2 linked regions of the Nothobranchius furzeri genome follow. The main gene of each other region encodes a partner of the protein of the gene in region 2 in a complex. Links are inferred from orthologs where the notes say so. Each region holds a gene or a part of one and is shown on either strand. Other genes may lie near its edges.

Region 1 (3,931 bases), on a different chromosome or scaffold from region 2:
AAATAAACATAAAAGTTATGTGATCCATGAGCGACGAGTCCAAGCGTTTCTGACCCTGTTCAGCAGCTCCACACTCACACAGGAGCTTGTTTGATCTGCTGTTCAGCGGCTCGGAGGCGGTGGGGTTCTTGTTCTTCTCGTTGTCCTCAATAGGTCTGAAGTGAGCCAGGGTGCGCATGAAGCCCCTGAAATTCACCTGGTCCTCTCTAGGGGGAAAAAACCCAAACAGATTCAAGTGAAAATCTGAACGAAAAACAAAAAAGGTTTTATTTGGGTCAGAATACATTTTTACTCAGAGAAAGACATTGTGAGAAACAAGGAAACAAACAGGAACTTGTACCATTATGTCATTTTGAACGCTTCCCTTTAGTTTCTATTTGCTCACAATCAAATACACAAAACCAGCTGAAAGGTGAACCCACGTGAAACAATTAAAAATCACGTCACGACATTAAACACCCACACAACTGATATGTTATGGCTTAAAGAAGGGGTTTGTAGACCGCATCACACAAATTGTCCACCCAGATCTGGCAGCCTCGTGTCTGCCGGCGCCGAGCCTCAGCAGAGTCGAGTTACAGTCCGGCTTACAGCTCTCAATTACGAAATATGCAGAAATAGGCAAGAAAATGTGTAGAATAAGAGAAAACCTACCCCTCAGGGAAGAATGCATTGATGATTCTGTCTCCCAGAGGGTTGATGGCCAACTCAGGAATCCTCTGGAAATCTTCTCGGCTGCAGACATCATGAAATATGAAAACAATTGAGTCCCATGAAAACACATATTTCCCTTTATAGTGTTTAAGATAACACACCTTATGTAAAGCTTATGAGACACATCATGTGAAAGTAGTTTTAATTCTCAAAACAAGACGGCTTTGATTTAAAAGAAAACAAGTGTTTTCAGAGTCCGTTCTCCTGGCGATGCCGTTTCATCACCTGTAACCAGAGTTTGAAACAATCCTCCTGAAACGTGTGGAAAATCTCACTGTTGTGGAAACTAACACACGATAAGGATGTCAGGCTAAGAAGATGAGAATACCCCTGACTTGTGAAGGGAACGAGAGCTCAGAGACAAGGGCAAACAGAATAAAAACTTGTTATGTGTAAACACATCTTAGACGATTCTAAGGTCCATAAAATTAATCAGACTGCCCTTGAACGACTGATCCACAAATGACGTTGCAGCTGCCAAACCAAAGGGATTCATCACACCAAGGTTCAGACTAAAGTCTTATTTGCTTAATAATTACCCAGCATTCCATCACCTCTCATTTAGTGTGAAGCCAGAAACAAACCACACCAATGACTGACTGAGCTCTCAGCTAAATTACCACTAAGATAAAACCTACCAACACTAACTGGATACAAACCTGTAAAAAAATATTCTCAAATGACTTGTTTGAATCTAAATATTTAACTAATGTCTCTTAAATTCTAGATCAACTTTGCTTTACTCTAGTCTCTTTGTTTCTATTTTTGAGAATCAGCCACATTTGCTCAACTTGGTCTCAAAACACCCTAAAATCTAAAGAGCAGATTGAGAAACTCGATATTGTTGAACTAAGCTTCTGACATCAGAAACTCTAAAAAGTTTTAGGATTACAATAAATTGTATCTAGAGAGTTTTCACACAGGTGTGTGTCTTACCTGAGAGTACCGTTCTCTCCTTTATCCAGGCTGGTGAAGCGGCTGTACAGTCGTGTGATCTGGCTGTGGGAGACTACACCGAAAATACAAAAACGTTACTACGTTTAAATAAAAACTAATTTTCACAATACACATTAAGACTGCGACTTTATAAACGATCGACAAAACATGTGAACTTGTTTTCCAACTGCAGGTAAGTTAGCTAGCTTCAATTTGGTTCCATGAATCAGTCAGCTCAACTTACAGCCGGTCTCTTTTTTAATTTCTTCGATTTCTTCTTCTCGCAGTAATGTGGAAGCTCTTGATCCCATGATGAGGTAGTATCAGCTCGTCTTCTTGCACAACCGGTTGAGAGAATCTCGCCGTGAAGCGCCCTGAAAGTTAGCGAACAAGCTAACCGCGCGAGCTAATATCTGCTCCAAACAAGGCTTTAAAAGCTGAGTGAGCTCAGATCAACCAGCTGTGAGCAGACTCCCCGTTTATGCAGCGTGACGAGCGGTTTGTTTTCTGTTAAAGATTTCCTCCAGTCTGTCCTGACTTCATATTGCCAAAGCGATTTTCGGTCAGGCTTTTTTCCTGAACAGCGCTGTGGGCGGGGTTAACAGGGTTGCCGCACGCGTCTTTTGGAATTCTAGGGTGACCAAGGAAGGTCCCGCCTTTCTCGCATCTGATTGGCTAGATACGCTCTACTACGATTGGCTGAAAATTCGCGGGTGTGGCAGACAGTAGCCTTCGCTTGATTGAAAGCTAAGCAAGCAAAGCAACTGATGTGGATAAACATCCCACTGGTTTGTGTGGATGTGGGGTGGGTGGGTGGGGGGGAACAGTGGAACATGTTTTGTGTGACTGCATAAAATATGAGGGAAGTAGAGGGCAACTCAGGGAGAAATTAAGAGACATAGGAGGTGGAGTGATGACTGTAAGGAATTTGTTAAATGGTGAAGAAAGGAATTACAAGTTGGTTGTTGGGTATCTAAAGCACTGTGGTCTGTTGGATAGAATTTAGTTTTTTTTCTCGCTCTTACCCCGACTCACACTCCAGCACAGTAGGTGGCGGAAATGCACCTAGCAGTTAGATGCCACCCGCCATTAAAACTCTAAGAAGAAGAACTGATGCGGATACCTGAGCAGAGGTAAATAATTTGTCTTTGTGAGAAAGCTAACATTAGCTTTTCAAAAGCCACGTTAAAAATGATAGGCATGCCCTCAAATGTTCATCTAATCTGTTGTTTGCTGATGACATAGCTGCCAGTTCAATATACCTACACACACACACACACACACACACACACACAGGTGTTCTGTACTTGTTCAATAAAATCTGATGTAATCGGTGTCGTGTATTTTCATGATCATGCCTTTTGGTAACAATTTGGAAATATTTTCATAGGCTGAGGCAAGCAGGATGGAACTGAAGACACATCTTTCATGTGTTTAAATCTGTATATTTAACTGAAATTATTTCAAAGCTGATTATGATTTAGACCTATTTTTCAGCAGTTTTCATTATTTTAGAAGAGAAACTGCTGCACACAGCTGGGTAAAATAGGGCAGTTTTATTATATTTCTTACCCAGGTAAGGCACACACGTCTATCCTATGTACTCTGCTGTAATAAGATAAAGTAAATCCTCTAATACAGGCCCGGGCCTGTATTTGACTCAAGCTCATCAAGCTCCAGGCCTTTATTGGAAGGAGGGCCAGTATTAGAGGCAGGCCTCTATTTCTATTTGAGCAAAATGAACTAATGGTTCGCTGGAGTTTTTGACAATTAAAATTGCGCCCACATTTTCAAAGTTAAACACATTTCTTTTAACAACGGTAGTTTCTGCTTCAGCCATCTCCCCCCTCCCCCTGTGCAGCGGCCGCAAACTCACTGATGCGCCTGCAGCCTCTCAGAGATCCTGCTGCTCTAAAAATTAAAATAATTATTTCAGTTTCTGTTCCTCACTTCTGATTACCTTCAATGGTGTCTGTTGCAACCACCAGGTACAAAAACTAACTTGTTTTTATTTGACTATTTTTCTGTCCTGTCTGTTTATTATCTTCCTGCATCTCCTCTCAATCCTTAAGAGAAACTGCTACCTGGGTTCATATATATTTACCTTATGAGTTACCTTTGAACTGCAGTTCTAAAAGATCTACCGACCGCAAAAACAGCGGAGTGCTCGCTGCTTGCCGGCCGCATCAGTGATCGGTGCGTCACCGGATGACAAGTTGATGCGCCCCGCTCCACAGCGAAACGCATCAGGCGCAAATAAAAGACAGAAAACATCAAAGGA
Region 2 (3,831 bases):
GACCTGGGGCCTCATTTATCAAGCTGGCTTACGCGCAAACTTTGGGATTTATGAACGAAAACGTAGCGGAAAATGTGTGCAACTGTAAGTTGACTAAGGACCTGGCTTACACACATGCTGGACATGGAGAGCACCTGCAGCGCTGCTGCTGAGAAGATACAATAATGAAATCCTGCAGCATTATCACTTGTACACACACACACAAACACACACACACACACACAGCCTGAAGTACAGAATATCAGCAGGGGGACAGATTGAGACAGAACATCATGTGTGTGTGACAGTGTGTGTCCTGTCACTGTGACCTGATTGATCATGTGACCTGGCTACTTGTACAGGGGAGATCTCTGTTTGGGTGACTGGTTAGTGCGCGTGACGTTCACCCGGGAGTCTGGGGATTGAATCCTGATTGGACCATTTTTTATATCCGCCACAGATCTCTCTGAAGAAGTCAGCATTGACGGCTTCAGCAACGCTGTGCCACTCCGTGGGTTTTCTCTTATTTGTTTTGCAAAAGAACTTCCTTTCATTTCTCCACCTCACCCACAGGTACCTCAACTTCTGCTTGTGTGAAATAGCGCTTCCTTGATCTGCCTTGATCTACGGTCGTCATGTCGTTGGCGGAGCGCTGCAACAGCCGGCTTATGTGTATGCATGAGGTCCACAAGGCACTTTGCATTGACCATTTATGGCAGTAAGTGGGCGTGGTGAGGGTGGGATGTGACTAAAAAGCAGCTGAGAAACATTCTCGTTAGACTCTGATTTATGAAGCGGAGATTGCGTGCAGCTGTGCGTCCTCCATGTTTGATAGATCACACACCTGCTTGGTGTAAGCACTTTTGTTTGCTGAGCTTAAGTACGGTTTTAGTAAGGATTCTACGCCATGTTTGATAAATGAGACCCCTGATGTTAACTTTTGGAGAACTCACGAGAGGATGGCGGACAAGGAGAGCATCTCAGCCGTCAGGTAGGCCAGGTATCCCAGGATGAAGAGGAAGCCGGGCTCGATGATCTGGATGTTTTTAGTGCATCTGGACAAAAGGGCGAACAGCAGGCCAAACACAAACCCCACCAGGCTACCGCCAAACGCCACCACGAAGAAGGAAACTGGAAAAAGACAACAGATCAGGCCCAAATAAACACTTCTGGTCAGGAAAGAGTTAGAACCCAAAAAAGTCTCACTTATTCCTTTAATGATCTCAGCGGCATTGATTCGGGGTCCTCCAAGAGTCACAAATGCATTGAAGACATTGAAGAGCACCTAAAAAAGCAGAAGGAACCATGAATGTTGTGGAGACGGACACCTTCACAGGAGCCTTTGGTCCAAGACAGCAGCTTGTTTCTTAGATTTTGATGCTCAGATGACATCATTCCAGAAGGATTCTGATCTTCTTTCATTTCCCTTCAACGTGATGCATCGTCTATGATGGTCTTAGAAGGGTTTCACCAGGTTTTCCTGAGTTGGGTTTCCCAACAAAGACCCAGTTCAGCTCTAATATTTTCCTTCCGAGCAGCCAGAAGCTCAGAAGGTTTCAGAGGCTCTGAGTCATTGGCTCCTTCAGTAGAAACTCTTCCCGTTTCTGTTGTTGCATATTTAAAAATACCAAAGACATCAGTTTGGTTCCCAGAGAGCAGGACGCTGGTCTTACGCACCACAGTGACGCCGTCGTTCAGCAGCGACTCTCCGAACACCATGATGAAGAGGACCTCGTTGACGTGGACCTGCTCAAACACGGCGAGGACGGCCACGGGGTCGACAGCAGCGATCAGACTACCGAACAGGAGGTACTGCAGCAGGCCGACGTTCAGGTCACCTGGAGCAGGACAGGATCAGTCTGAGAGGGTCCTGGTCGCTGGAACCATGATGGAGGTTCAGGCAGCAGAAACAACATTTACCTGGTCACTAAGAACCGTATTTATGTATATATGTATGTATGGGTACATATTTAGATAAGTATATATGTTTATGAATACATAGGTAGATAAATATTTATTATATACGTGTATTTGTATAAATTTATATCAATCGATCAAAAATATACATGAGTATGTAAGTACTTAAGTATATAATTGTGTGAGTATATATGTGCATAAATATAAATACGTATGTAGATAAATATATGTTATACAAGTACCAGCAACCAGCACCGTTTACATTCCAGTAACCTCATCTCTACGGTTATTCCCAAAGCTCGCACCTCATTCCAGTTTGCTGCTTCCAACGACTGGAATGAGCTGCAGAACCACTGAAGCTCCCGACCTACATTCCTTTATCTACCCTCAATAGTTCATGGTGACCAATAGTTTCTGATCAGTGTTCTAAGTTCTGATTACTCATACATATTATATTTCTCTGGTGTAAAGCTAACTGTGTGACTGTTGCTGCTGCCTCTTGGCCAGATCCCCGTTGTAAATGAGAATGAGTTCTCCATCCACTCATCTGTTTAAATAAATGAAAATAAAAGTACATCTGTGTAAATTTATATCAATCAATCAATCAATCAATCAAAAAATATATATATACACGTATATATATATCAGTATATATGCATATAAGTATGTAAGTATATAAGTCTATATGTGTACAAGTACATATGTAGATATATGTGTATATATGTATACATGTACATATATGTACTTATACACATATATACATGTGTATATATATATATATATGTATACATGTGCATATGAGTATACATATACATATATGTACTTATACACATATGTACATATATGTACTTATACACTTATGCACATGCATACTCATATATACATGACTACATGTATATATGAGTATACATGTGCATATGAGTATACATGTGCATATGAGTATAAGTACATACATGTACATATGTGTATAAGTACATATATGTACATGTATAATCATATGCACATGTATACATGTAAATATGAGTATACATACTCATATATATATATATATATATATATACACATGTATACATGTGCATATGAGTATACATGAACATATATGTACTTATACACATATGTACATGTATATGAGTATACATGTACATATGTGTATAAGTACATATATACATGTATATGAGTATACATGTATATATGAGTATACATGTAAATATGAGTATACATACTCATATATATATATATATATATATATATATACATGTATACATGTGCATATGAGTATACATGAACATATATGTACTTATACACATATGTACATGTATGTACTTATACACATATGCACATGTATACTCATATGCACATGTATACTCATATATACATGACTACATGTATATATGAGTATACATGTACATATGTGTATAAGTACATATATGTAGATGAAGTTAAGGCGCTGCTGTTACCCATGGCTCCGCCTATCTGACACCCCCACAGCGACAGCCCCAGGCTGGCAGCATTCCAGCAGGTCCCGATGATGGCGTGGATCAGGATGCCTCCCAGGTTGGTGAAGAACAGCTTGTTTGGCATGCTGTATCCCGTATCCAAGATGATCGGAGGCAGGAAGTAGTGGAAGAAGTCGTACGGGGTCAACCTGAAGGTCTGGACCTTGTCTGCCCCCCAGATCATCCCCCCCAGGATGAAGCCGGAGCAGATGAGCAGAGCGCTCTCGGGGATGAACTCGGTCACATGGTGGTTTGCTTCGATGACTGAAACACCAAACACAAGGTTACACTTTTATTTTGAAGGAGACCTTTTGATCTTGCTGCTCTGTGGCCCGGTCCCAGACCTGAAGTGTCATCGTAACATCTGATGGGTCTGATTTCAGATTCATGACTGAACTAATGACCAACCCGACGTTTGCCCTGTAACTAAACCAGAAAC

Evidence for each region.
Region 1: the proteins of sodium/hydrogen exchanger 3 (region 2) and chp1 are in contact, whole or in part, in a cryo-EM structure (PDB 7X2U), measured with the Homo sapiens proteins. The link is inferred for Nothobranchius furzeri from reciprocal best matches to the Homo sapiens genes SLC9A3 and CHP1. Residues at the interface, in NP_004165.2 of Homo sapiens: Tyr396, Arg397, Met398, Gln400, Glu402, Arg474, Leu475, Asn476, Glu477, Leu479, His480, Gly481, Arg482, Ala483, Phe484, Asp485, His486, Ile487, Leu488, Ser489, Ala490, Ile491, Glu492, Asp493, Ile494, Ser495, Gly496, Gln497, Asn501, Arg504; in NP_009167.1 of Homo sapiens: Arg30, Leu31, Arg34, Leu38, Lys40, Glu49, Phe51, Gln52, Arg53, Ile54, Glu56, Leu57, Ala58, Ile59, Asn60, Pro61, Leu62, Asp64, Ile66, Phe70, Phe83, Leu87, Phe90, Leu115, Phe117, Ala118, Leu121, Tyr122, Leu135, Leu139.

The regions. Positions count from the first base shown.
Region 1 is NC_091758.1:19,054,086-19,058,016, forward strand, and holds the start of chp1 (calcineurin B homologous protein 1), read right to left. Parts: upstream 2,216-3,931; 5' UTR 1,962-2,215; coding exon 1,895-1,961; intron 1,724-1,894; coding exon 1,651-1,723; intron 736-1,650; coding exon 655-735; intron 207-654; coding exon 79-206; intron 1-78. UniProt on the Homo sapiens protein: Calcium-binding protein involved in different processes such as regulation of vesicular trafficking, plasma membrane Na(+)/H(+) exchanger and gene transcription. Involved in the constitutive exocytic membrane traffic.
Region 2 is NC_091759.1:25,545,061-25,548,891, reverse strand, and holds part of sodium/hydrogen exchanger 3, read right to left. Parts: intron 3,657-3,831; coding exon 3,354-3,656; intron 1,818-3,353; coding exon 1,657-1,817; intron 1,265-1,656; coding exon 933-1,264; intron 1-932. UniProt on the Homo sapiens protein: Plasma membrane Na(+)/H(+) antiporter. Exchanges intracellular H(+) ions for extracellular Na(+) in 1:1 stoichiometry, playing a key role in salt and fluid absorption and pH homeostasis.